Linked DNA regions of Mus musculus: regions 1, 2, 3, 4, 6 and 7 are each reported to be linked to region 5. Evidence: microRNA targets listed by miRTarBase, many of them from high-throughput screens and not tested one by one. Region 5 holds a microRNA gene; each other region holds the end of a gene's coding sequence.

Region 1 (4,067 bases), not on the chromosome of region 5:
TTCATAACTTGAAACATTTTCTGAGATGGTCGTGCCACTGTCATATAATTTTGTCAGGCTAAAAGCTGTATTTTGCGTGCGTGTAATCCCAGCATTCAGGAGGCAGAGGCAGGCAGATCTCTTGAGTTTGAGGCAGCCTGGTCTACAAAGTTAGTTCCAGGACAGCCAGGGCTACACAGAGAAACCCTGTCTAGAAACCAAACCAAACCAAAGCCAAATCAAATAAAAACCTGTCTTTATTCCCCACACACCCACATACAAAGGCTGGATTTGGAGACCTCCTGGCAGAGCACTCATTCCCTCAACCTTGTGTCTCTTAGTTCACGGCTGCCATTTAGAGCCAGTGGTGTATGTGAGAGGTTAAGGGGCCAGGTGGATTCTTCTTACACTCTCCTTGACTCTGTATTTCTCCACTTTGGAATTCAGAGTGCCAAGCCCCGGTTGGACTGCTTGATTGAAGTATACAGAAGCTGCCAGGAGGTTCTGGCACACCAGAAAGCCACAGCAACAAGCTTATGAGGCTCAGCATTCAAAGGCCAGTATTGTCTTTATGGAGAGGACTCCTAGACTGTAGTGGCCGGTTTATTTTCCATACTGTAAAAACCATCAGGACACAGTCCTGGGAATCAGAATGGATGAGTAGATCTCAGAACCACAGAGGAGGGGCTGGAACTTGATTCATGTTCATAATGTTCCCTGTATAATACAGTTTTTTCTATACTACGAATCAAGGGGAGACCTTAAGGATTTTGACATGTCAAAAGGCGGCCAGGCATAGTGGCACATGCCTTTAGTCCCAGCACTCAAGAGGCAGAAGCAGGTGATCTCTTGAGTTTAAGGCCATTCTGAGCTACATAGTAAGTATCCTCCACCCAAAAGTATTGTCCAAAAAGAACACTGAAAACTTTAAGTACCTTCATGTTTGTGTTAAAATCTGTGAAGTATTAAGACTGGTACCAGATTTCACAAGAAAAATGTAATTTCCATCTGTATAGACTCTTGTCTAAAAGTTAGGGAAAATAAGTCACATTTTTATGTATGAGTTAGCAGGAATAAAATGCCTAAAGGGCTAGCCTCTATCCACCCAGCTCCTAAGATCTGTGCAGGATCATGACTCCTTCATCCACAATTTAGCTAGGGATGGTGTGGATGCTTGTAATCCCAGCTCTCAGAAGCTGTCAACAGGAGGATTGAAAGTTTGAGGCCAGCCTGGGCTTCGTGATGAGACACTGTCTCAAACCCCAAGATAAATATCCACAACACACAGTTATTGTCTGGTTCACTGACAGTTTTATTGACAAACATACATAGCATTTCAGCCATGGGTGTCAAGCATGAGAGTACCTTTCTGTTAATATTTTCTATTGCTCAAAAGCTGTTTGGCTAAGAGGGCTTAGGTGAAGAGTGAGAGATTAAATGTTGGTTCCCAGACATGAGCCTGTCACATTAAAGGATGAGGAAGCCAGTTGACAGAAGCCTTTGTTTCAGAGGTGGTTCCTTAGATGCTAAAGATCAGGAAGGAGAAAAGGCGCTGGACTGGGCAGAACTCGCCTTTAACCCCAGCACTGCAGAGGCAGAGGCAGGCGGATCTCTGAGTTTGAGGCCAGCCTGGTCTACATAGTGAGTTCCAGGACAGCCAGGTCTGCATAGTGAAACCCTATCTCAAAAAGAGAGCAAGAGAAAGGAAAAAAAAAAGCAGCAGCACAGCAGCAGTAGCTAATCAGACCTTCAAGTCTTACAAACAGTTGCATTAGCTGGAATTCTGTTTACAAAACAAAAACAACCTGAGAGCAGACTACATCCTTACTGGCTTTAAGGCCCTTGGGATGTAAACCAAGAACTGCATTCTCTGCCCTTCACCTAGCCTTGAAGGAGCTGTCCAGGGGCCTATAGCAATGTGACTTGAGGTAGACCTGTCTCCTCTAGAACCCCAAATCTGGGGTGGGAGTTGGGGTTCAAACAGAAATGGCTATAAAGCTGCCTGGCTTGCAAGTCAAGCTCTTTTTAAGGGGCAGACTCTTGTGCCTTTTTAAAGTCAGGCTTGTCAGTTCAAAGGATGAGGGATTACAGCAGCTGAGGCATTCAGATTAAACTAATTTTTGGCCTTGCAGTTTCTTGTGGTGTACAACACACACATTGTTGGGTTAAAGGCTTATTTCTTGATATTCCTCTTATCCCCTAGTCTATGTTACTGAAAAATAATAAAACTGCCTTAAAGCTACACAATAAAGCTTATTTTTTATATGTTGGAAAACCAAAGTATGGACTTGTTTTTTTATTATTATTATTTTGTGGGGAAAGATGGAAAGAAAGATCATCTTCATCAAAATCAACTAAAAGGTTTGCGTTGAGAGGGATGATAATATTCTCAGGAAGGCAAAGTTGAAAGAAACTTTCTACTTCCACAGATATGTACATGCCCTGTGCTTCCAACTAATTTCGAGAAGCCCTCTACCAAAAGTCTTAGTGAGCAATCCAGGCCTTCCAAGAATGGAAGGGTCTTTAGTGTTCCTGATATCTTGTTTCTCTGGTGGCCTCTTAGAGCAGCAACAAGCAAAATTTATGTGCTTGGTCTTGGAGAGAATAGGAGATGATGACCACCTCGTCCTTCAGTAGTGAGCACAGGCTTCACTGAGCCTTGTTGGGCCTTAAAATGACACAGGAAGGGTGCAGACTGGCTCTGTCCCTGCCTGTGCTAGTCCAGTGTGAGAGGAAAAGCTTTAATCTTAACAGGAATACTGTACAGTCCTGAAAAGATTAGAGCCCAAAAGGGCATGGCAAATGCCTCCTCACCAATAGGGGAGGGCTCGTCATTCTTTCCTTCTCCAGCTTGGCCAGGGTTTTTCCCATTTGGGAAAGAAGTCCAGTTTTAGAGATTTGTAGGCATTTGCCAGAGTTTAGGTAAATTAGGAATTTTAGTCCTATTTTTATTCAGGGATGTTCAGAAAACTTCAAGTATAAGTCCCCACGTAAAGACCATGTATAATATAAAAAGATGAGCTTCCCTGAGTATCAGTGCAGAAGCCCCAAATACAGTACCATTGCCCTGGTAACTGTGGGCCATCCCTGTCTCTATCTAGAATCAGGTAGCATCCAGAGTCAGTATTCTTGTAAAATAGTGGTTTTGATGTTGGGTCTGAATCTTAGAACATTGGGCCTTGAAAGGTAAGGCACCTAAAGAGCACAAAGGTTTCAGAGACCCTGGAATTCACAATTCACAGAACAGTTTGAGGAGGGGCCATTAGACCCATCACAGTAGTGTATGCTCCAGGGTATCAATCTGATCCCAGAGGCACGAGTGGTGGCAAGGGTATGGGGAGGAGAAATGTTCACAGCAAAGCTGACCCCTTAGTGCAGGAAACAGAAGCAAAGAACTGTCCATCCAGGTCTCGGGGCTGGCGGGCTGCAGGGAGCTTGGCTGATAGGTTCACAGTTGCAGAACAGTGGTTCATGTAGCTGGCCATCATTAAGGTAGTTTCTGTAATCTAAGGAGGTTAGAGAAGCAAAGGATTAAACTAGCCTTATCCTGAATGCTGCCTTCTTCACTGGCTATAACATTGGGTACACACAGAGTAGCTGTCCAGTAAAATGTACCTCTGCTGGCCTAGAGAGTCTGAGATGCACAGTACCCTCCCGAGGATAGGAGGGATAGCAGTGGCTGGGATCAGGCAGTTCCCACCAAGTTCCAGCTCAGTGGAGAGATGGACGTGCTGTTCCACCCGGACCCTTAGGGATGCTGTCCAGAGTTTTCTAAGTATCAAGCTTACCACATCACACCAGACCAGGGTAAACTGTCATAGTAGCTGTCAGACCCACCTTGGGAGCAGGCATTCGGAAGGTCAACTTGTCAATACGGGTTTTTCCAGAGCTCTGGTCTGGAATGGATCTAATCACAAGCATGAAGTCATCCCTGCAGCCACCGAACGTTGTCACTGAAGAGTAGGGATAAGTGATGTTCACCTGCTGTGGGAGGAGCCAGTCGAGTTCAGGGGAAACTTTCTTTTAGACACAGGGAGCCTTAACCAGGAAGGGAGAGCCCCAAGGTGATGATGTAAGTTGTGACCAGA
Region 2 (4,067 bases), not on the chromosome of region 5:
ATAAGAAATTGAGTCCCACACCTCCTCCTCTTACAACAAGGAAAGAACATACAGCCGTTCACCTAGCGAAGCCCAGAATTTCAGAATCCTCTCCTGTCCTCTTCTTTTGCAGGGCCACGGCCTTCGGCATCCTCAACGGACTGTGCAAGTTTGGGGCCATCCTGGGAAACACTATCTTTGCTTCTTTTGTTGGGATAACCAAAGTGGTCCCCATCCTTCTGGCTGCTGCTTCTCTGGTTGGAGGTGGCCTGATTGCCCTTCGATTGCCAGAGACTCGAGAGCAAGTCCTGATGTGACCAACCCACCGGGAAAAGACAGATGGGAAGATCTTTTTCAGGACACTCCAGCACAGCCACGCCTCCTGCCTCTCACTGTCTACAGGATACCGCGGACAGCACGGAAGGAGAAATGGACTTTGTGATCCCTAGTTTAGGACCCACTGCAGTTGTTAATACATTTTTAACTCAGGTGATTGACTAGGGGTGCCCAGAACCATCCTTGGGATCCCAGAGCTGTGTGCTTAGCTTCAGGTCTCTTCATCCCAGGCAGGGAGAGGACACTCCAGTAAACACACACAGTAAGCAAGGAGTATATGCTCCTCTAAATGAGGTGCAAAAAACTATTTGCATTTCGGACTGAAGTTGAGGACTAGAACCACTTAAGCTCCTCCATGCAGCTTCTGGGAGCCCAGTGACCTAGCAGATTGTCATAGTGGGGAGTGGGGTCAACACATACTGGGCTCAGAGAGCAGACTACGTATTTGCATTTGAAAGTATCACCTATCATATTTTCCTTTTGAAAACTGGCACAGTAGCCTTGAGGATACTCTGATATAGAAAAACCCAACCTTTAAGCAAAATGTATATAGACGGACTTTTCTTCCCAAGCATCCTGAACTTTGCATAACGAAGAGGTGATACACTAAGAACTATATTTATTATGGTTTTGCTCTTGTCAGAGCAACGTGAGGATGGGTATTATGTAAACTAAGTTTGTATATAAGAGTTTTGAGGTTTTATTCCCACAAATGGTGGCTGCTAAGGTTGCCAACATTTTAGCCATATTTGGGGAGGACTCTCCATTCAAGGTCGCAGGAAACTTGGTGCGAATGGGTAGCATCTTGCTTGCTGTCCGGAGGATGTACTTGGCAAGCCACGTGCCATTTCCTTTACCTGGGAACTTTTCTTCAAATTGGTAGGGCAGGTACTTCTCTCTCCTGTGTTGCTCATTTGTGAAACTCAGGACCATAGGTTGTTTGATGCTGTTTACCCAGAGAGAACAGGAAGAAATGAAATGAAAATGTTTTTATTTTTATTATTGGCTGCTTGCACTCCTTTTCTTTAGAGAGAACCCCCTCACAGATAACTGACTAAGGATGGGGAAAGGTAACCACAGTTCTTCAAAATGTGAGTTCTTCCTGTTTGATTTCAAAGAAAAACACAATGTACATTTATTATAGTGTTTAGGACCTATGAGAAATTTATGCTCTGTGTGTTGGCTCGGGGCGTTCGAAACAGGCCATTAGCATGCACATTAGGAAATAAAAGGCATGAGATACATTCGTTTCTTCATTGCTCCAAGGAAGCTTTTTCTGAGATCCAGGTTGGAACTTGAATGTGGAAAGGGGAGAGGGGGTCAGGGCTGCTCTGGCAGGTGCCAGCAGTCTGGAGGCTAGGCTGAGGGAGTGGCTTTTGTTCATCAGTACCCTCTGCAATGGTAGAGACAGAGCTAGGAGTTCCTGCCACCTGAGCTGCTCTTACCTGGGCCAGCAGAACGACTGACTGACTGACTGTAAGAACTAGTTTGCTCACGTTATTTGCAGCACACACACAAGCTGTGATGTGCTAATCTCTACCTATTAGAAATCTTCCCAAATCTAAACCAAACTAATGACTACATTGAGTGTTTTCTCAGTTCTGTGGAAATACTTAGATGCCAGGCCAGTTCAAGCCATCTTTGCCTAGTCCTCTGGAATATAAGTTGGCAGTGGGAAAGAGTGAAATCTTTGAGAACTTCCCATTTTCAAGTGTGGCTAACATGTTTACTCTGCTTCTCTGGTCCCCACCTCTTTATTTACACCACCATTACTTTCTGTCCAGGGAAGGAAGATGCATCAGGTCTGATGTGATAACCCCCATTACTCCAAATATAAATATATATAAATATACAGAATGTATTAATGCTTCTCTCGGTGTTTTATAGGAATTAACTGATAACGCTCTGTTGATAACGAGAAACTTTCTGTAATATAGCTGTGATGTCCTTTTCCATTTTCTTGTGATATGGAATGCATTGCTTAGGATCATGAGAGAATTGTATAAATCTGTGGTTATGTATCCCTCATAACAGTGTTCTTTAATGGGATAATAGACCTCAGTGCTCAGCTACCACTCAAGAAATGTACGAGACAGTTAGAATCCACATTTACAGTCAGATATATCTTGTAAACTTTAAATCTGACTAATTTTTAAAGCACAGGAGTGGCTGCAGTTATTTTAGGCTAACTGTTCTTGGTTTCTAAGCTCTGTCTTCTACATTACATTTATGGCTCCTTAACCTGTTTGCCTAACCAACCAAGGGCAATTCCCGTCCATCCATCACACGGGATGTGAGAAGGATGCAGCCATGGTCTGCAGCCTCTCTCATGAAGGGTTATCTGGCCATGGTACTTGGCTGCTTCATAACTTGCTGTCACTCCTGATGAGATAAGTGTGTCTTTAAAAATAGTCCCCGTGTCAGGTCACTGGGGTGTAATGTACAACATCCTTAGCCATCCATTTTTTCTTTTCTTTTTTTTTGCCCTGAGAGACTCCCAATGGCATCTATAGAGGACTAAAGAAGAGAGCCGTTCCCTCACTGAGTCAGACTGTTCACAGTTCATTATGTATTTTATGATGGCTTGTTTGGGAGCCGATACTTTCAGCAGTCTCAACTGTGTTGTGGGATCTCCTGATGCTGGTTTCTGAGCTTTTGTTTTATTAAAACTGATTAGTGAAAGAGGTGTCCTGGCTCTGAAATTTGTAGCACGTGAGCTTGAGATTACATAATAATCCACTCTTTGGGTTCCCTGGGTATTGGCTCATGACAAAAGAACGAAAATAACCACGAGTGAATCTTTAGGAACCGAGGTTAGAGATCATGTTACCTCACTCATGTCTCTTCTGCATTCCTAATGTGCTGGAATCCCTTCTTCTAACTCTCTTCTTTCATACGCAGACTTTGAATCATTTGGCCCAGGTACCCATGTGCTAGGACTGTATAATAAGGTCTAGAATGATGCTGCCTCCTTTTGTGGACTAACCCTCCTAGTTGAACCAGGCTTCTTCATATTTGCTCTATTAGAGGCCCCTTTCAGTTATAAACATGAATATCTTTGCTCTTCTTTGCTGTAGAGCATGCTGGGAAATATATTTACTGGATACATAACCATCATTTCTTCAAAGTGGAGTTCTTGGTACTGAAAGAAAATAGACCAACGAATCATTCCTAAGATTTTTTTTTGTTCATTAGAACCACCTGGAATGGAGTCTGGGGCAGTATCTCAGTGAGGTGCTTACTTGACAAGCATGAGGCCCTGAGTTCTATCCCCAGGACCCAACTAAGCTGGATGAAGTGGCCTTCTCCTACTTCTCCTAATCCCACTACTGGGAGATGGAGACAGGAGATCCCTGGTGTTGATGGTTAGCCAGGCTAGTCTAGTTGTCAAGTTTCTGGTGATGAAGAGACTCACCTCAAGGACGAGGGGAACAGTGCTTAGAGAGCGACAGCAGAGGTTGTCCTCTGTGCATGTGGACACTCATGTGCCTGTGCACCCCCACAGACACCCACATGGCTCTGAATGGACTGCCTGGCCCCGTCCCCAGTGATTCTGATTTAGTATGTATGGGACCGGTATGAGAATTAGCATTTTCAGCAAACGTGTACACTGCATGGTTGGTATTAGTCACTCAAATCATATTTGGAGACGCACAGACAACCTGCTTATACTTAGGCACGTTGATTTGTTGGGGCAGGAGTCGGGTAGCAGAGTTCTTTTGCTTTAGTATCAGGTCAGCCAGAATCTCATT
Region 3 (4,067 bases), not on the chromosome of region 5:
GACTAGAAACCACAGGGAAGGAATACGGCACGTTCCCAGCCGTGGACAAGATGCACAGTTGCTGTTATCTGTCCCTGGGATACCTGGACACCCAGGAATCCCCTTGTTTTTAGACAGGGTCTCGGTACATGGCCCAGGCTGGCCTTAAGCTTGCCAAGCCCTGGTACCTCTGCCTCCCAAGCGCTGAGAGGACAGCCTATGTCACTGTGCTGAATACACGGTAATCCTGACTATGAACTGCGCTCCACTCAAGACTGAGGGAAACAGTGGCACTCTGAGAGGGATGGCTTTTCTGGAGAACACACTCTTGAAGGGAGTTTGAAACACCAACAGTCATTTGTCATGTGGTTGCTCAAGGTTCATACATCGTACTCTCTCTGTGTGTGTACTTAAGTTTGTGTAGAATGAGTCCAGAACAGACTTCTTGGCTAGAAGTAAATATTTTCCCAGTTGCTCTGTACTGTCACACCAAGAAAAAGGAAAAACCTTATTCTGAGACGGTTTAACTCATGTAGCCCAAGCTAGCCCCGTTCTCTCAATCCTCCTGCCTCAGTCTCCTGCAGGCTGAGATTACAGGCCAGGGCCACCACACCCAGACAACGGTTTCCTTTAAGATAGATGTATTATGGAGCACAGAGGGAGGCTGGAGGTGACCCGGGGTGAGGTCTCAGGCTCTATAGAGAAGAAGGCAAGCAGGTAGGTGTGAACCCAAGGCATCAAAGAATCCAGTACACTCCCATGGTTTAATTATGCGTAAAGCTTTCCTCTGAAAACCAAATCCTCCAGTCTAAAAATAGTTTACATAAAAATATAAAGCCCAGGCCCACCGTTAGTCTGGAATAGAACTTGATTCTCTAAACCGAGGGAGAGGGACATTCCGTAGAACCTTTAACTCCATGCATCCTTTGTGCCTGGCTCCGCTCTCACTACTGTTTACATTTTAACATGTAAATTCTAACACATGGCATGAATGTGACTATCCAGGGAACCCAGATAAGGTGGCAACACAACTGCCAGTGGCCAAGGTAGCATCAAGTATGCAGATTTGAACTTCTTGACTTAAAAAAAAAAAGAATGTTCTTTCATTGAGGGGTAGAAAATGAAAGCCAAGACAAATTTTAAAACAGGGTTATGATCACATAGAAAATTAGAGAGAACGTGTACTGTATAACGGGGAACACACAAACTCCCCAACTGTGAGAACACACTTGCTGGCAGCTAGGGTCTACCTTACAATCAAATGAAGTACACTGCCGAGCTCAGCACTGCAAAGCACTGTAAGCCAAGGATGAACTCTTGATCTACTGCATTCGCCTCCAAAGTCTCAGGATTACAGCAGCTGTGTGCCTGCATCCAGTCAACTGGGAAGACCCACTGAGGCCTGGCGTTTGAGACCAACCTGGGCCACACTGAGCTGTCACCTCAAAACCAAACTCACTTTATCTGACAGATGACTTGGATCTAAAAACCAATGCGGGTGGAATCGTAATCTGCAACTGAATCTGCACGGAGGGCTCCCAATGGCAAACGCAGAATTCAGCATTCCACAGGACCTGAAGGCAAGGGACACTCTCCTGTTCTTGTCAGGTATGGTGGCACACACCCTCAGTCCTAGCACTTATGAGACAGAGGCAGGAGGAGCAGTTCAGGGTCATCCTTGGGACACAGCAAGTTTGAGGTCAACCTGGACTACATGGGACCCGGTTTTAATGACAGACAATGCACCTGTGTGCGTGTGTTTGTGTGTGAGCTCATGCATGCACGCTCATGAAATCAATCCTACCACAAAAGGACTCAGCCCTAACATGTCACGCAAAGTACACGGCTCTCATGGCTTCATTTCTCTACGTTCTTTTCTTTGCAGTTGCAGCTATGTTCCTCTCTGTTCTATGCCCAGCCCCTTCACCTAGGCCAGCCAGCTCTGAATACTTGATGAGTGGAGCAGCTGATGTACCTGTAGCCCAGCACTCAAAGGCAGGAAAGTCTGCAAGGGACCAGTGATGCTGAGTGACCTATGGAGGCCCCAACAACACATCTTCAAGTGTAAGAAGCAATTCTACCTGAGGGCCAACTGCAAGCAAAGGTGGAAATGATTGTTAAAGGAGGAAGCATAGACTACAACAAGCCCATGCCTACAATCCAAACAAACAGAGCCTGAGGAAAGAGAGTGGTCTGGGCCTCAAGGCCAGCTTGGGCTACATAATGAGTGACAGGCTAGCATGAGCTACAGCGTGAAACCTTATCTCAAAATCAACCAACCAACCAACCAACCAACCAAACAAACAAACCCAACCACCCCCAAAAGAATGATTACTTTCCCTAATCCATGGGGGAAAGGACAGGTGATTTTTCTTTCTGAACAGCTGAAATACTTGAATGGAAAACTTTGAAATGTGTGGTGCTCACCCCTCTAATTCCAGCACTTGGGAAGCTGAGGCAGGAGGATCACAGAGGACTTGAGGCCCAGGAGCTACAAAGTGAAACCCTGTCTTTGAAGAAAACAAAAGCAAACTGGCTCTCCCTATTTAAAGCGGTCTTCACAAAGTCTTATCATTATCTTCTAAAGTTAAGACGACTAACGTCCTTGATTACACGCACAGCACAGGAAACCTCAAGCAGTAGCAGGCCGGCATTAGGAGGGTCAAGAGAGTAACTGAAGAGCTGCCCCACAGACTCCAACTCTGTAGTCCTCAGCCAAGCTTCCCGGTGACACATCCCACTGGCAAAGGGAGATTCCTCCAGCAGAGCCGAGGCTGGGAAGGGCTGAGCTGGGAGCAGAGTCCTGTACACCACTGTCACTGACTGCCAAGAGAGGCAGGACAGACGGACAGCCAGGAGAGCTAAGAGCACATCTGCCCACGATATCTGGATCTGACAATCTCAGTCATTTGGCCTTTCATCCTCAAAGCTAGTGAAAAAATACTTGTGAGAAATGACTTCTACAAATGATTTTGTATCTCGGGTTTCTTCTCATGCAACAACAAAAAAAAGGTCATGTCTACTGAACAACACTCAGCCTTTGCTCAATATATTTGTTAAGACACTGCCACACCTGTACAAAAATACCCACACCAAAGTACTGAAACCGTAAGACTAATTTTTAAATCTGTAAAAATGGCAGTGCACTGGGTGACTCTAGTTCTGGCCTGTGGTACCCAATGCTCTACAGGTTCAAGGGAACTAATATTTCTGGGGGAGGAGACAGGTGCCACATGGTCAGGGCTAACCTTGTCACTTAAAGTGCCATTGAGAATACTGTTCAGAATTTCAAACAGCTGGCCGAATCTGCTACTTCACCCCACGTTCTGGCCTGGGGAGGCTGGCCCAACTGCCTGACGGATGCAACAGCATCCCTGGGCTGTGCTCCTAGACAGGCGCAGCTGTAGTGGTGGGACAGGCAGGCGCGGCAGGCACCGCAGCCGCTCAGAGTGCACAGTCCAGCCGCTCACTCAGTGCCGCCGTGGGAGCCTCCGGGCGCCGCGTCTGCGTGATTTTCTGTTTTGGATTTTTTGTGTCTTCTTCCTCTTCAGTTTCGCTCTCACAGACGTGCACCACCACACTGGGGGTGGACTCGGTTCCCGCGTGCAGTTCGTATTTCTCCCCTGCAAGCACAGGAAGGAGCCTTACTCCCAGTGAAGGAAATCAAGTTCTTCTATCTCCCAACTTCCTCTTCTACTACGTCATTCAGTGGCTGATTTTTTTTTTTTTTTTTAAGACTGCGTCTCATGAAATCTGGGCCAGTTAGAAACTTGCTGCTGTAGCTGAGGCTGACCTTGAACTCTAATTCTTCTGCTTCCATCTCCCAAGTGCTGGCATTTAAAAAAAACAAAAACAAAAACAAAAACTCCCTGGAGTCGCACTATGTAGCCCAGGCTGGCCTAGGCTCACTGTGTAGACAGGCTGACCTGGAACTCCCAGGGAGCTGCCAGCCTCTGCCTCCCAAGTGCTGTTAAAGTTGAGTACCACCATGCCCTGCAGAAATTCTATTTGTAAAGACACTGTCGGGCTAATGCGATGGCTCAGTGAGTAAGAGCACTTGATGCTCTTCCGAAGAGTTCAAATCCCAG
Region 4 (4,067 bases), not on the chromosome of region 5:
AGTTCTGTCTGAAATGTATCATGTCTTCAGCAATGAGAGACAACCAGGGAAAACAGCCACAGCTTATATTGTTTTGCGTCTCTTGAAGTCTGTTACCCAACAACTTGAGAGGGTGGTTTCTCAGGCATGATATTAGAGTTTTTGTTAGGTAGTCAATGGTTTTTTCAGGAAGCATTATTGCCCACAGTAGTATAAGTTCTTTTTAACAATCTCTGCCTCTGTTACTACCTAACTCTTTGCATGTGTACATACACATACATCTACGTGGTGGTTTGAATGAGAATGGCCTCCACAGGCTCATAGATTTGAATCCTTGGTCACCATAGAGTGTACTTATTTAGGATGTGTGGCTCTGTTGAAGGAGGGATGTCACTAAGGGTAGGCTTTGAGGTTTCAAAAACCTAAATCAGGCCCAGGGTCTGTCTGTCTGTCTGATGTGTACTTAGTAATATTTAACTCTCCTCCCCAGGGTTAGGTCACCCCACACCCACTTTCCCATTTCTCCACTTTATCTCTATTTTATCCATTTCATGCTGACTGCTTCCACATTAATGTAACCTCTAGAAAAGACCTTGTCTATTTTATTTACAATCTCACTACCACCAACTAATTCTAAGGACACAAAAGACTTTCAACCTTTACAGAATAAGTTGGTTCTACAGTAAACAACCCTAGTCTTTTTTTTTTTTTTTAAAGATTTATTTATTTATTATATGTAAGTACACTGTAGCTGTCTTCAGACACACCAGAAGAGGGCATCAGATCTCATTACGGATGGTTGTGAGCCACCATGTGGTTGCTGGGATTTGAACTCTGGACCTTTGGAAGAGCAGTCGGGTGCTCTTACCCACTGAGCCATCTCACCAGCCCAACCCTAGTCTTTTAGTCCAATTTACCTTAAAATAAATGATAACATTTATTCAAGTTTTAATGTCAAGATGTAAATGTTTATATTCATGTAATTATATATATATAATCAAAACTGTGAAACAAGTTTAACTTTTAATTTATTAGAACCCAGAAAGTGATGATTTTTTTAAAAGCAGAGTTCCCATCAAATTAACACTTAATTCAGGGCAAAATATATTAAAATATAACAAAATAAAAAAAAAACCCTAAATCTTAAGGCAGAAGTAAAACACTGTAAACAGAACAAAATAGCATGTCTAATACAGACTGTAGAATGTCACAATTTAAAGAGATTCACATAGTATTTTATAGCACTAAAATGTTAATACAGTCAGAAATATTATCAATTGGTCCAAGATTCCTCAGTTTATAAAATGTCTAGGCTGCTAATTGAAGTTTTTTTCCATATAAAGATAGATAGGTACCATAAAATCAAGTGACTGCTTTTATAACAGAGGAACCAACAGGCATCTTTATGATTTTGTCTGTACAGTTCTACAGTATCAAGTATGGAGTATCACTAGGCATTTGTAGGTTCAGCTCCCCTTTCTAATGCCCATGGTTGTATGTCACTCCCCTTTGACTGTATTTTAATGTGAACCATACTTTTTACTACAGAGGCCTAGCTTTACTGATAACAAAATCATGAACTGTTTAGTTTCTTGGTGTGTGGGTATGTGCGTGTGCAGTTACATGTGTGCACATGTAGGTACAGGTGTTTATGAGTGTATGTGGAAGCCAGAGGGTCAACTTGTTTATATATGCGTGTGTGTGTGTGTGTGTGTGTGTGTGTGTGTGTGTGTGTGTGTAGATGTTCCTCAGGAACAACTGTCCCTTACAGGGACCTGGAACTTGCTAATTAGGCCAGGATGGCTATTCAGTGAGCCTCAGGGACACACCTGTTTCTGTTTCCTCAACACTAGGATTGCAGTTGTGATACATGCCCAGTGGTATATAATCTGAGATAGCAGAAAAAACAAATTTTAATAAATTATTCCATCTTTTCCTGGCCATTAAATAACTTTGGACTGAACTATAAGGACTTCAGATGTCAGCAGGTGAACAATACTTCTGTTAGTATTTGGATTAGAGCCTTAGTGTGGGGACTTTTCATGTCTACTTACTTGTCTGCTGTTTTTAGTGTTTGAATCAAACCCAGGCCTCTGCACATCTGAGCTACAGTCACTCTCTAGTAGTTCATGCTTATGTGTAATTAATAGCAGCCCTTCTTAAAAAAAAAAAAAGGAATAATAGCCTTGGGATTAACAGCCTTATGATCAACACCTTTAATTTTTAGGGAACACAAAAAAATTAAAAGTGCTTGAAATCAGTAAACAAGGATTAGCTAGCTTATATATCCTAATGAATAATGCCAAAAGACACAATGCACTGAAAATAATTCTGTAAGTCTAGCAAATGAGCTTGGTGGGTTCTTAACTAACATTAATTACAAATACTCATTTTTTATTACAAAGTTTTCAGCTATTTCAATAAAATAGCTGCAGACTTCACGGTACTTCTACTCATCTGTTCATTAATAAAAACCTGTTAAAATCCCTTACTTAGTAGTTCTGGAAAAGTCTAATCAAATACGATCATTAAAACTACCAGCAAAGCTTTGCTGTACTGATTGCAGACTCATTTCAAAGTGGATTCAGTCTCTCTCAGGGTCTGACTCTTAACTGGTGAATGTATTCACCAGCTTGAGCTCTGAAAATAGAAAGAATTTTAGCCAGTGCTGACCAGAGTTAAACAGTTCTGGTATTACTTGAAAAATAAAAATACACTGTCAACCATGCATTCCACAACTTCAAGAACCAAGTAAGGAACTACTGATAGATATGGTAAGGATGTAACGGTGACCTAGGCTTTTCATCAGGCCTCAGCACACTCACATCAGGGCCCATGTAAGATAAAGGAGTAGAAGGCCATTCTGTACATTTGCCCACTGTCTGGCATCCAGCCTCCCCACTTCTGTGTAACTATTCAGAACTTCTTCAAGAGTGTTAACTGAGGGGTAGTAGAGGACACCTATGGGGGAACAAAAATGTAGTAATGTGGACTTTTCAGCCGAATAAGTTCTCATTGTGGTTATACTATGTGCAGCATATAACCTGTACAACCATTTGTTCCTGTTTGTCTCTTTGTGAAAAAAAAATTAGGCTCAATAAAATGTGAAATTTACATTAGTTTGCTTTAAAATGCAAAGATTAACTGTTTTTGGCCCAGCTGTGTAGTAACCAAAAAAAGTATCTGCTTTGATAATATAATATGAAAAAGTTCACATATGTACATTGGTACATTCCTTCATTAAAATTTCCTTAAATCTATCTCAATGTATCTTTACAACTGATACAACTGATCTTTACAGCAAAAGTCAAAATTGACAAGTAGAGATGATCTGTTGCACAGCACTTTGGGTTTCGGGAATCCCTTAGACTTAAAGGACATCACTGAAGCGCTGTTTGCCATAGTCTGCAGGATCCATCTGAAGCTCTCGTTCTTCATCATCTGCAAGCAAAATAATATGTATCAAGAATAGAGTTCCAAAGTTGCTGCAAAGAGCCAGCTTCAAAGTGTCTCCAGTTTTTCAGCAATCTTTTCTCATTATCCCATATGTGCTTGTTATCTTAAACAGTGCTCTGTTCCTTAGCCACATGGCTGAAGTGTAAATAGTCTATCATTACTTTGTAAGATTTAATTTTAACAAATATTCTTAGCTGGACATAGTGGCTCACACCTGTAATCCCAGCTCTAGGGAGCCTGAGGCAAAAGGATTAGAAGTTCAAGACCAGCCTGGACCACATAGAAAACTTGAGGTCTACCTGGGCTACATGAAACCCCATCTCAAAGAAACACCAATCATCTCCAACTTTCAAACAGAACAGAGTCACTTCTGACAGGTACCGGGGAAATAGACAGACAGAGCTAGCAAAATGTTAGGAACTCACAGCACTGAAGAGCTAGTGCTGTGCATTATCTTATGGACTGGAGAGATGGCTCAGCAGTTAAGAGCACTGACTGCTCTTCCAGAGGTCCTGAGTTCAATTCCCAGCAACCACATGGTGGCTCACAATCATATGTAATGGGATCCAATGCACTCTTCTAGTGTGTGTCTAAAGACAGCTACAGTGTACTCATATAAATAAAAATAAATA
Region 5 (4,067 bases):
CCAAGGAAATAATTCTTTAGAATGCTGTTCTTGCCCAGACTTAAGGCAATAAAGACTGTCACTAGTGTGAGACCAGGGGACTCCAAAGAAAGGAGGGGAGTTCACAGGAGTTAGGCTTGCTGCCAGCATAGGTGTGAGTGGGGTGTGGGTTGGGGAGGTTAAAGGATGGTTTCCAGATGAGGGTCCCAGGACACAGTTGAACTGATGGTAAAAGTTAGGTAAGAGGTGGCTGCTTAGTTGCTAAGAAGCAGGTGCTTGTTAGCTACATGCAGTGTACCTTTGTTCAGTGTTGAAGAAGACAGGAGCACACCCTACTAAAGGAGGACTGGAGCATGCATTGTGACCATATGCCTCCAGTACCTGCCCCAAGCTTTTTTCACTTTGGAGAACCAGGCAAGAAAGTCTGATCCTGGTATATAGCAAAGACATCAAAACTTCTAGCTCATGTTATCTGGGGAAGAATATAGAGGTGATTTTTAGTTGGTTGTGGTGTTTTGTTTTTTGTTTCTTCTGTTATGCTTTAAAGATGGGAAATGAATGCCTGTGGCGGTGTGTGCTGTGGAAGCACAGTCTTCTGGCTTGATTCTTGGAAGGCCTTTTTCTGTCCCTCCCTGGGGCTCATTTGTATATCTGGTTCCTGCTCCCAGAGCCATAAAGTGGGAGCCCCCATTTATTAATTGGGTTGGGACTGGGGAGGGGGTCGGCAGGGGACTCTTTAGTGCAGCAGGCAGGGGTCTTTCCGAATGAGCCCATTAGCCAGCCCCAACGGCAGCTGAATCGGGGCTGCAGCCAAGTCCTCTCCGTTTCAAAAACCCTCCATCGCCTGCAGCAGATCAGAACAAGGCCTGCGGGAGCCCTTAGCTTCTGATTGCAGCTGTGAGGAAGGACAAAACAATTTATAGGAAGCCAAGTAGCTCTTGTCTCACTGTCTTTCTCTTTCTGACTTTGGGGAGAAAGAAGGCTGGAATGCTGTGTCCTCTCTCACCGAGGTTTCTTGCAGGCATGTACAGGCACAAAGTAGGAGAAAACAGGAGTGTGTGGGATTTGGTATTTTTCTCTGCTGTGGGTATATTTACATATCCTTCCCATCTACATACAGTTGTGTTGGACTAGCAACCACTAAGTATATGGGCTTTCTATATAGGGTTCCCTTGGGCAAAGTCAAGTGTGTATGCAGTATGCCAGTCTGAGTGTGGGCAGAGACAGTCTGCCTGCTTTATCAAGATGAGAGAGTTAGCTCCCTTAACTTTTCCTCTTAGGAGGAAGGGCTTAGCATTTAGAAGAACTCATTTGCTGCTTTATTCAAAGTGTATTAGAAAGGCATATACTACAGTGGTACTGCGTTCTACAGTGGCATAGAGAAGGGTGTCGGGCCTGAATATCACAGGGGAGGGAGGTCTTCACCTTACAGAATTATAACTTTCCAGAGCTAAAGAGAGGTATGTAATCCAGCCTCTTTTTAGAGCATGATGCTGAAGCTTAAAGAAGGACAGTGTCTCATCCAGTCATGCAATAAGACTGTTGCGCTATCTAGGACTAGCTCCAGAGGCAGAATATTAATCTACATGAATAAGCATGAAGCCCTCAGCTTTTCGAGTGCCTGTTCCTAATAACCCAAGGCTACTTTAAGAAGGGAAAAAACAGATTCTGAAGGGGGAGAGACAGAAATTGAGGAGGAAAAGTAGATTTAAAGCTATTAGTATGAAACCATGTTATGTATCATTCAAGAATAATCTCTTAGTAACCAAGTGTGGTAACATACACCTTTAACCTCGGGTCAGTAGGTGGAGACAAGCAGATACTAAGGTCAGCCAGCGCTACATAGTGAGACACTGTCTTAAATTAGACTCCTTCACAGCCAGTTAGATAGCTTGTAAAAGTGCCTAGTCTAGCAAATTGAGATCTATCCCTAGAACCCACATAATGGAAGGAGAGAACCAATACCTGCAAGTTGTCCTTTGACCTCCACAAACACTGGCACAGGCATCCCTCCCATACACATATACATAAATGTAATTTTGAAAAAAGAATGGCATGCAAATTTTACAAATAATTTTTAACAATATAACTAAATTGTTGGGAAGAAAGTGGTAGTCATAGCCAAAGATCTTAATGCCCGTAGAGTTACCCCAAATTTTCAAAGAACCCTTGGCCCCAAACTAAGGGACTGATACTAGGGAAAACCTCCTCAGAGGCAAAGTGAAAAATTCATACCAAATCTCAGCTTAGGTTCTTTGTCATTATAATAAATTTATGTCGGAAGAATCCAAATGGAGAGAGAGCACCTTGAGGCAAGGCTAGAGGGAGTTTCACTGAATGGGATATGGAATCATGACTCAGGAGAGTTGGTGGGCACCTTCTGCCTTTCTCTTATTTGTAGAGCTAGGGGAAGCTATTTGGTGTTCTTGGACCGTGCATAAGGAAAAGTGTTGCACAGTGGTCAGAACCAAAAATAAGCTTATCAGGGCTGGCCTATGGGACAGATACTATAAGTCATCTCATCCTGGGGCTGGGTCTGCTGTACCTCCTTATGCTTGCTTTTACTGGACATAAAAAATTGGGAACCTGTTAGTAGCAAAAAGGAAAATGCTGACGAAAGCAGCAAAATGCTGAGCAACATGAAGATAGTTAAGGTCTGTGTTAGGGATCTACCAACTGATACTGTCCGTGGATAACAAGGAGACAGATCCCATTGTGTATCATTTGTGGTCAGTCCACTGCATTATAGTTGAAAGAATATAGGAATATGGGGTTAATCTCCATGCAAAGACTTTGTTCCTGCAAAGGAAATGCACAATAAACCTAGTTACCCAAATTGCAACTAATCTACTCTTGTAAACCTTTCTGTTTCATAACTAAGGCCATTTTCTGACTTTAAACTCCTTAAAGAAGCTGTGATGAACAAGAGAACCTCCAATTGAAGATGGTGGTCTGGTCTAAAGTTATGTTACCCCCTCCAAGTTAGAATCTTGCATTAACCATAACATGCATTGGCCTCTATAGTATTTCTGTGTTTCACAGCTTGTATTCTATTAAATTTTCTGACATATACCTTAAGTATCAGGGCCATGGTTTTTTACTTATCATCCTGGGAACTAGTCTTTGGAGGTAGGAATCTGGAACAGTCAGCTCTTCTGGAAGAATTCTTAAGATTCATTTGCCACTTTGGGGGCATGTAGGTTTAAGAGAATTGGAGAAAAAGCAACCATCATACTGTTACTGTTACTGTAGCTGTCAACATTGTAATCTCCGATGCATGACCACATACCCTCTTTGCACTGGTTGCTTGTCCTGTGTCTAATGTAGCTTCTTATTTTTCTTTGCAGATAGCAGCAGCAGGGATGGCCTTTGAAGAACTCCAGACACCCATCAGTTACCTTGCATCCAGAGCCTCTCAAACAATCTCATTCACAATACTTGAAGCCAGGTAGGGACTTAAAGCCAGTCAGAAGCCACTGGCCTGATTGTACATGGAGTAGCACCCCACTTGTGACAAGGGCAGTTTCTTCTCTGAAATCCCCAAAAAAGTGTCCTGAGTTTTTATTTGGCCCTATTCTGGTATCCTACCTAGTAGTTAACAAGCTCTCTCCAGCTAGAATGAGTGAGCCCTCTCTAACAGTAGCAGTTACTTCATTCCTGTGTTACCAGATAGATATGCCTCTACACGGGAGTACTGACATTATTATTCAGTTACTTTCAACCTCCTTTAGGGTGAATATCTCCCTTACCCATACCCCTTCATATACAAAACACTTTTCCCCCAAAAGCTGTTTTTTGTTTTGTTTTCTATTTCTTTTTTTTTTAATATTTATTTATTTATTATATATAAGTATACTGCAGCTGTCTTCAGACACACCAGTCAGATCTCCTTAAGGATGGTTGTGAGCCACCATGTGGTTGCTGGGACTTGAACTCAGGACCTTCAGAAGAGCAGTTGGGTGCTCTTATCCGCTGAGCCATCTCACCAGCCCTGTTTTCTATTTCTTTAAGTCAAGATAGGACAATGCTATCTCTTCTTGCCTCTAATGAACTTCACTGCCTTCTTTCTAGGTTCAGTGGAAAAGTCC
Region 6 (4,067 bases), not on the chromosome of region 5:
CTGTCCTGGAACTCACTCTGTAGACCAGGCTGGCCTCGAACTCAGAAATACGCCTGCCTCTGCCTCCCGAGTGCTGGGATCAAAGGCATGCGCCATCACGCCCAGCAATAGCCCACATTTCTGAAGTTGAGTTTGTTTTTTCCATGTCTGAGAACAATTTCAATCGAGAACAGCTCAAGTCCCTGTCCCTTTTGGAGTCTTGTAAAGTTGAAAGTTGACATTTCAAAAGTCCCCGAGGTACCAAGAGGTAGGGCCTCCCAACCCCAACTCCAGTAAGATTCTGAACAACAGACACAATTGCTCATGGATGTGTATTTTAATAAAAATAATTCTGTCAAAATACAACAGGAATCTTTTCATCTCAAGTACAATTTACTAGGATGTTTGTGTTGGAATTCTGTCAACCCTCTCACACCACAAGTTTCATGCTAATGCCGAATATCAACTTGCAAGGACAAAGGCAGAGCCAGTGTGCACACTGTGGAGGATGCCAGTTTCAGCTGTAGTTGATAATGGAGGGAACCGATGCAAAGAGGTGGGCACTGGGACAGCCAGAAGCCACCATCTGGCCACAGGTCCAAATGCCTGTGATTGGTGGTGAAGTAGGGCTTTGCTGTCCAGCTGCCGAATGACATGCATACCTGAGTTGTGAGCAACCAAAGGAACGTTCAGCCCCAACAGTCCTCTGCCTCATCTTTGTGCTTAAGGACTGGGAAGGTGCTGGGTAGCCAGGCAGTCCTTACTTCTTTAGTTTGTGATGTTCTGCACCCAGTCTGCACCTAGCCACAGACCCTCAGAGGAAGGGATTGGGGGAGAGGGACTCTGAGTCATCCGCCAACTTGGCCCTTGCTCTGCAAGGAGCTGCCATCTGTGCCTCCTAGGGAAAGTGAGCTAGGAAATGCTGCTACCTCAGGACTGGACAAACCCAACCCGGCCAGGTCCTCCTTTTGCACACCAGGGTCAGGTCCAGCTCTTTGCTAAGTTGCTTCCAGGAACTGCTCCTCACTCCAGATTCCTGGAAATGGGCTAGTGGAATTGGGGGTGCATACAGGTCTCCTCTGGCAGCAGGACTGGACTAATTACTGGCTCCAGCAGCTTGATTTTGGCCCTCCCCACAGCTTGTGGAACAAAGGCTTATGTCCCCAAAGTGAGCTGTCCAACTAGGACAGAAAGCCTCTCTGGAGAGGAACAGAGTAAACAACTTGGACTCAGCTGAAACAGTGAGATAAGGCACAGAATTAAATGGGGAGGTGGCCATGGGTACTGAGTGTGAGCCAGGTGGACATACAATCCCGTGCAGCACACAGCAGTCCCAAGCCGTCCAAGGCCCTCTCAGCCACTCCGCAATCCACGTCTCAGCACCCATCCCTACCCGTCACACCACGAAAGGTGCCAGCTGCTCAGGCACTGCTGAACTCACGCCAACCTAACCCCTTACAAAGCTCATTTGCCATTTTGCTTTAGGTCACGACAGGACTTGTCTAACCCACAGGAGTAGTTAGTCCTGGTTCTGCCACTATTTGCTGTGTGGCTTTGGTCAAATCACTTAATTTCCTGGACCTGTTTCTTTCACTGTAAAAGGAGAGGACTGGTGGAGAGGTTCTCTAAGTTCCACTGCTCTGCAAATGCCTCTGGTTTTCATTTCCAAATGTAAGGCCCATCCATTGTTAACAGCCTGATATTTCCAACCTGAGCTTGGAGCTTGGGTGTCCCAGCCTTGGACAGGATGAAATTTCCTTTACATAGGACAAGACCTCCTGAGGAGCTGTAAACTAAGGCCCTGACAGGAACCAGGAAAACATAGTAGCCTGTAGGATTAGACCCTAAAGCAAAATTTTGGAGGATCTCAGTCAAGGCCCTACTTCCTCACTGACAGATGGTCTAATTCAATTTTGTCCAGCTGTGGGCCTTGTGAGGACTGGTGGGCACAGAACATCTCGAGCTCTGCCATTGATTTCTGTGTCCACCAGCAGAACAAAAGCTTCCCCTGCCCAGATGCACTTGGAGACTGGAAACTCACTTGTGGCTTTGCCACAGTTGACCCTAATCTTTGCAGAGGTTGCCTAGGCTTTTCACTCACCCTGTGAAGCAGGTAAAATCCTGGCCCTCCTAGGTGTCCTCTGTATAGACCCTCCTCTTCCTTGGTAGACAGTCCCCTCCACAGATGGCCTACTCATGTCCTGGCAGCATCTCAGCCCTGGGATAGTGGGTTTTGTTGTTGCTGTTGTCCCGCCAGCTGTGAGGATCCTGTGAAACAGCTGGTGGGACATATGTAAGGCCCATGGAGTCCCCCCTTCCTAAGAGTCGCTGGGGCCACGCTGTAGGGAGCAGCCTTCCTTAAGCTGTAGGGAAATCCGGATCAGGAAGTCAAGGGTTCCATCCACTCTGGGACCAGTGATCCAAGAATCAGTCTCCATGAGGTACCAACTTCTCCACAGAAAGCATCAATCCCATCAGGGTTGGGCAGTGATGGTGAAGACTCTGGCAGGAAGAAAAGAGCCCTGTCCTTAAGGGCCTCTGTCTTGGGAATGGCTTCCTCTTGGCAGCCTGGCACACAGCAGCTCTTGGGATGAAGGCAGGTAGTTTCCAGGCAATCAACTGAGAGTAATGAATTATTTGGCCATCTTAACAAGGGAAGGCAGGCATTGAGATGGGAGAGAGGGGCAAGGCAGGCAGTGAGAGGCAGGGTAGAGTGGTAGACAGCATGCTGGCTACGGACCCTGTGTTCCCTTGCTTTGCTGTGTGCCCCTGGCCCACCTCACTTCCCTGAATCCCTGAACCTGCAGTTCTTTTGTTTACCTATAGGGGGCCTAGAGACCCACACCTCTTGGGATGCTGCAAAACAGCTTAGTCTGACCTTGCCCACCAAACAGCCTTCCCCAAAACCCATATTTCCTGGGCAGCAGCTGAACCTGAGGCTCAACAAAAGGGGAGCCTAAAATAAACAAATCACTTGATTGAAGTGACAAGAGATGATTCTTTTTTAATGAGTTGGACTCAAATAAAAACACATGGTGTCTGGACAGCCTCACCCAAGAGGTGCTGGACCACTAGTGCTACGATAAATACTGTGACTTTTTTTTTAATATATATTTATATATATATATATATATAATCTCATTTGTTTGTTTTTTTACTTATGAAAATAATAAGCTATCATCAACCTGGATAGGCTTCATTACTAAGTTAGCAGACACCAGCTCAGCACAAACTCTCCCGAGATAAACACTGGTGGCTCAGTCAGGAGGAAAAAAAAGTTAAAAAAAAAAAACACAAGATCAAAAACAAAAAAAAACCAACCTCTCCTCAAAACAAAATCTCCTTTAAAGGAGAAGCTACCACATGAGTAACCAGCCAATACTGAGTCACAGGTCGCTGCACGTGGAAGGGGACAGGGAGGAGAGGACAAGGGAGGGAGGGAGGAAGGGAAGGAGAAAAGGAGGATGGACCGGCCAGGTAGGAAGAGTGAACTCTGCCCATGGCTTCCAGGTCTCTGTACCAGATGCCTACGGAGGACAGGGCTGCTCCAGCCCTAGGGCTGAAGGAGGGCCAGCCAGAGCCAGCCAGGAAGGTCTGCTAGTGCAAGTAGTCATCGACTCTGGCAAAGGAGCAAGATCCCAGGCCTGCTCGGGCCATGAGCCGTAGACATTCAGATGCCTGGCCCAGGGCGAGCATCAAAGGAGGCTGCTTTGGCAGGTTCTGAGACTCTGTGGAAGAGATAACAAGGTATGGTCAGTACCTAGCCAAGGACTTGGGCACAGGTCAAAATTCCTAACGATGGAGGGTGGAGTTAAAACTATGGGCAGGACTCTGGGAAGAGTGTCAATGTTTGAGTGTCCTAGCCACCAGGCCACCAGGCTGTGGGCCTGCTTTCATGATGGGAAAACCTGAGGACCTTGGCCTCCTCTAGAGCAAGGAAGCTGACCTGGTACGTGGCATGTGGCATTGAACTAGCAGCCAATGACCTCAGCTGGGCAAAGGGAGGCTGGGGTTGGGATTAGTCCTAAAAGCCCAGGAGCCTCTGAAGGGTCTACGGCGACATTCACACCCATGGTTAGCTTTTACCT
Region 7 (4,067 bases), not on the chromosome of region 5:
CCCTCTCAAGGTGTTAGTCTTGTGGAGCAGAACTTGCTGAAGCACCTAGAGTTCACTACCTGCTGGTACAAGTGGGAGGGGAGGGTGGGAAGGCCCAGCTCAGCTCCCAGAGATCATTTCCCAACAGAGAATTTGCATACACACCAGTTTCCCCATCACCCAGCTTGGCTCAAGTAACCAGGAAGAGCTGGCATAAGGAGCAGCTGGGGCGGCTGCTTGGAATTTGATCCCTTGCAGCAAGCCTGGTGGCTCGAGCTTTGGTCTTGGGAGTTACATTTTGTCCCTGCCGCCCTCCCCGTTAAGCTCCCACGTGGATCACTGTGGGTCAGGCAGCTGAAGCCCTGAGAGAAGGGCAGTGAGTAGCCAGGGCTGCCTGCTAGTGAGTGGGGCGTGAACTGGGGCCTCACTGCCTCTAGATGCTGCTAGTTAAGGTCTTCTTTTGTAATGTCTGGAGAGGTGGTGTGTCTTTGTGCCCATTTCACAGGTGGAAGGCCAAGGTCCCGTGTGATCCAGTGCTACCTGTCTGAGTGGCCTCAGTGGCCAGGGGACAAGAGGTGGTGAGAACTTTGGAGTTAATGCTGAAGCAAGTCACAGAGAAGAAACAGCCTTGGCTTTGAGCCAGGCTGCTTGGGTAGCCCTGCCTGGAAGCAAGATTGAGAAAGAGGCCTGGAGGCATGGCCACGTGGTTGGCTAGTCCAGCTGAGCCAAGCTGTCAGGAAGCATGGGCACCAAGACAGGCATCAGAAGGCCTGAGCCCAGAGCCCGGTCCTAGCTGGCACCTATTGTTTGAATCTGTAGCCCTCACTGGTTTCAGTGGACCAGCAGGGCCAGGCCCTGCCTTCTAACATTAGCCATAGCCAGCTGGCACTCATGCTGCTGCCTGCCTGTGGAGTCAGCCCATTTCTCACCCCCATAGGACAGTCACAGATGACTTCAAACTCCGGCTAAGAAAGCCAGGACAGTGGAAGAGTTCTTCTCACTTCCCCTTGTGAGCGGCCCCTGAATCTCATGGCCCCCAAAGCTCCACAGTATGGTACAGACAGGGCCGTACTGAGCAGCCGAGTGGGCGAGCATTCTACTTGCTTCAGTGGGAGGAGCAGCTCACTTCCCATTTCTGCAGAGGCTTGAGTCACAACAGTCTGGTGTCAGGTTTTGGGATCAGGAAGGGTACTGAAAGCCCTGCCCCAGCCTGCCTTCCTCCGTGGGACCTTGGGCAAGTCATTCAGCATTGCCAAGCAACTGATAATGAACCCGACTGTCCGGTATTTTAGCTTCCTATCCCATAAAGACAAACAGATGCCCACAGACGGCCGTTTAACCTGAGAATACATTGGCGCCCTTGTGTGTCCGTGTGTTTTATTTCGTGTGTTTGAGACCAGAGTCTCATGCAGGCCAAGTTGGCCTGGAACTTGCTTTGTAACCAAAGACGGCCTTGAACTTGTGGCCCTCCTGCATCTTCTTCCGGGATGCTGGGATGGCAGGTGTACGCTCCAACACCAGGTGCTGAGTATTGAACTCAGTGCATGGTTGGCTGCCTTCCCAGAGCCCTGGACAATGTAGTTCCTTTGTAAGAATAAATAAGGCATTGCCGTCTCTCCTTATGCTGCTAACAGCTCCCGAGGAGGCCGGGAGGAACACGCATGGCATAGACACCTTTAATTCCTGTGGGAGGGAAGCTTCCAGCTCCTGCATGCCAACGGATCCTGATGTTTGTCCTAAGCAGGCACTTCTGGAAGGGTGGTCAGGGAAAAGTTGGGCGGAGCTCGTGGGGAGGATTCCCACAGTGACATTTTCTTCCAGAGCTTCACAGCTGTTCTGTACGGAAGTAGTTTTTAAAACAGAAATATGCACTAAGGTACACCGACTACTAAGTACAAATATCAGAGGAATTGTTCAAAGGTAGGATTATTAAAGCTGTAATTCCGCCTCCCCCCACCCTTTTCCTTGGCTGGTAATATTTGCTTAGGAATTGTGTGATAGCCTAGCCTTTCATTTAAAATATTCATGTTCATCTTTGAAGTTGGAGCTGGGAGGAGGGAGGAAGGTGTTATCTTGCCTGGGCTTGTCTAGGGCTGATGAGCAGTTTGACGTGGTGGATGGGGTCAGTCTGTGTGCCTGCCCACAGGAGTCAGTTATGGAAGCCTTCTAATGAGCAGTGCCTGTGCGGCAGGAGGCAGGTCACATACCTAGCATGTATTATCTCACTGAACCCTCATGACAAACCTGTAAGGTAGCTGCCATTAGGATTCCCATTTCATAGATGAGGAAACTGAGGTCTGGGAAGGATAGTCCCTTGCTCCAGCTGGTAGAGTCAGTGGCAGGGCGTCTCCAAGCTGCTGCTACTACCCCAGCCCTTCCTCCAGCTCTGCAACCCTGGTTCCTTGGACACACAGCAGATCTGGAAGGAGGAGCCTGTGTGCAAGCACCCAAGGGCTCCCTCACCTACTTGGATCACACCGCCCTCTGTGGCCCTGATCAAATCGTTTCCCTGTTTCCTACCCTCAATTCTTGTCATCAGAGAAAAGAGGAACAGCTTCATCCCTGCTGTCGCCCGCCCCGGCACCCCTCTACCCAGCTGAAGCCACAGGGCTCTGTGCCGTTACACTTCTTCCTGCAGCTGTCACCTGCTACCTTGCCTCCTATTAAGGTTCAGCTCCAAGGGACCAACTGCTTCTGGGAACCCTCCTTTCTGAGGACAGGGAGTGACATCTGCCCTACTGGCCTCCTGTCACCCCAGAGCAGCTCTACCCACCAGGCACAGTAAGGACAACTTCCTCTCAAAACGACTGGCAATAGCTTTTTTTTTCTTTTAAATTTCTCTCTTTTTTAAAAGATTTATTATTGTATGTAAGTACACTGTAGCTGTCTTCAGACACCCCAGAAGAGGGCACCAGATCTCATCACAGATGTTTGTGAGCCACCATGTGGTTGCTGACATTTGAACTCAGGACCTTCAGAAGAGCAGTCGGTGCTCTTAACCACTGAGCCATCTCTCCAGCCTGCCTGGCAATAGCCTTTATTTTGTCAACCTTTTTCATTTAAAATATTTAAATCTCGCCTCTGTACACAGCATACATGTGTCCTCCCACCCATGGGAGGTGTGGAAACAGAGGGCCTTGGAGCCCTGGTTGGGGGGGGGGTGTGTAGGTGGACAGAGCGGGCAGGGGAGGGGCTTAAAGAAGCATCTTGCTTACTAACATGAAGCCTCATGCCCTGTGAACAGGGATGAGGCCGCATTGGCTTGAGGGGGCCTCAGAGAGCAGGCACATGGTGCCTAACTAGCCGGTGGTGCCGGCGTCCCAGGGACAGGGTGGAAGGTGGGGTCCAGCTCAGGCCTCTGCTCCCCCATGCCTCCCACCCGGCCCTCTGAGAAAAAAAAAAGAGGGTTTGGGCATCAGCCACGGATGGACGGCCTGACCGGCAGCGTCTCCTTAAATGACAGAGATACAATGTGTATCAACAGGGTGATCACTTCTGACCTGTGCGGGACGGGTTGGGGTGCCGCGGGGCCAGAACCAATCCTATGGTATCTTTGGTTTGAGGATTCCCTTGCCTGCTTCACTTGTCCTTCTGTCCAGCTTCCAGGGTAGGCCAGGCAGGGGCTGGGGACCGCTATCTGTGATGCCCGACAGCCCCTTGCGCCACCTTCTGGCTTACTCACTGAGGTGCTGGGACTTGTAAGACAGGATCTCTGCGGCCAGCTGCTGCGGATCCAGCAGCTGTGGGAAGCGTCTCATTACAGCTTCTACCAGGTGTGGGGGGAAGACACCACACAGCTTGGTATATACACCAGCCCTTTCTTTGGCCAGGTCACCCACCCTGCCCCAGGGGCCCCCACCAGCCCCGGGGCTGGGTCTCTGGGGCTCCTGAAGGACAGGAGTGGGTGGGGGTAATGGGTACGGCTCAGACCAGTACTCTCTGGATGGGTAGGTGGGTGGCGGGGGCACATAGTCGGTGGGGACACTGAAGTGGCCAGCACCCATGGCTGGTCTAAAAGGAGAAAAGGAAGGTGCTGCTGGGACCTTGGATCCATAGCTGTGATAACCTGCATAGGGGCCCCGAGTGGG

The links. Region 5 holds the annotated microRNA mmu-miR-5119 (CAUCUCAUCCUGGGGCUGG, at 2,495-2,513, shown strand). A microRNA usually pairs through its seed, bases 2 to 8, with sites in the 3' UTR of a target mRNA and lowers its output. Matches are read on the target gene's strand: a 7mer-m8 pairs with bases 2 to 8, a 7mer-A1 pairs with bases 2 to 7 and ends in A, and an 8mer does both.
Region 1: the mRNA of Plekhh1 is a reported target of mmu-miR-5119. Seed matches in the 3' UTR shown: 7mer-A1 at 1,659-1,665.
Region 2: the mRNA of Sv2b is a reported target of mmu-miR-5119. Seed matches in the 3' UTR shown: 8mer at 1,550-1,557 and 8mer at 2,701-2,708.
Region 3: the mRNA of Rcan3 is a reported target of mmu-miR-5119. Seed matches in the 3' UTR shown: 7mer-A1 at 2,241-2,247.
Region 4: the mRNA of Golm2 is a reported target of mmu-miR-5119. Seed matches in the 3' UTR shown: 7mer-A1 at 3,238-3,244 and 7mer-m8 at 763-769.
Region 6: the mRNA of Ranbp10 is a reported target of mmu-miR-5119. Seed matches in the 3' UTR shown: 7mer-m8 at 3,115-3,121.
Region 7: the mRNA of Zc3h12a is a reported target of mmu-miR-5119. Seed matches in the 3' UTR shown: 7mer-m8 at 2,895-2,901.

Annotation. Positions count from the first base shown.
Region 1 is chr12:79,078,856-79,082,922 of GRCm38, reverse strand. It overlaps Plekhh1 (pleckstrin homology domain containing, family H (with MyTH4 domain) member 1), which reads right to left. Exons shown (of 29, transcript NM_181073.3): 28 at 3,817-3,963; 29 at 1,268-3,485. The coding sequence ends at 3,330. Pigh (phosphatidylinositol glycan anchor biosynthesis, class H) reads left to right here. Exons shown (of 4, transcript NM_029988.2): 4 at 427-2,254. The coding sequence ends at 519. Among named protein-coding and RNA genes, the nearest start is that of Pigh, 8.8 kb to the left of the region's middle.
Region 2 is chr7:75,113,824-75,117,890 of GRCm38, reverse strand. Sv2b (synaptic vesicle glycoprotein 2 b) reads left to right here. Exons shown (of 13, transcript NM_153579.4): 13 at 113-2,997. The coding sequence ends at 296. Among named protein-coding and RNA genes, the nearest start is that of 4930533N22Rik, 86 kb to the right of the region's middle.
Region 3 is chr4:135,412,997-135,417,063 of GRCm38, forward strand. Rcan3 (regulator of calcineurin 3) reads right to left here. Exons shown (of 5, transcript NM_022980.4): 5 at 1-3,602. The coding sequence ends at 3,424. It overlaps Mir700 (microRNA 700), which reads right to left and starts at 3,637; the gene lies at 3,559-3,637.
Region 4 is chr2:121,932,831-121,936,897 of GRCm38, reverse strand. It overlaps Golm2 (golgi membrane protein 2), which reads right to left. Exons shown (of 10, transcript NM_001205369.1): 10 at 678-3,420. The coding sequence ends at 3,350. Among named protein-coding and RNA genes, the nearest start is that of Gm39916, 9.1 kb to the left of the region's middle.
Region 5 is chr11:98,260,144-98,264,210 of GRCm38, forward strand. Mir5119 (microRNA 5119) reads left to right here and starts at 2,463; the gene lies at 2,463-2,519. It also overlaps a transcript of Cdk12 not described here.
Region 6 is chr8:105,768,011-105,772,077 of GRCm38, forward strand. It overlaps Ranbp10 (RAN binding protein 10), which reads right to left. Exons shown (of 14, transcript NM_145824.5): 14 at 298-3,707. The coding sequence ends at 3,577. Among named protein-coding and RNA genes, the nearest start is that of Gfod2, 11 kb to the left of the region's middle.
Region 7 is chr4:125,115,626-125,119,692 of GRCm38, forward strand. Zc3h12a (zinc finger CCCH type containing 12A) reads right to left here. Exons shown (of 6, transcript NM_153159.2): 6 at 2,789-4,067. The coding sequence ends at 3,654. Among named protein-coding and RNA genes, the nearest start is that of Zc3h12a, 10 kb to the right of the region's middle.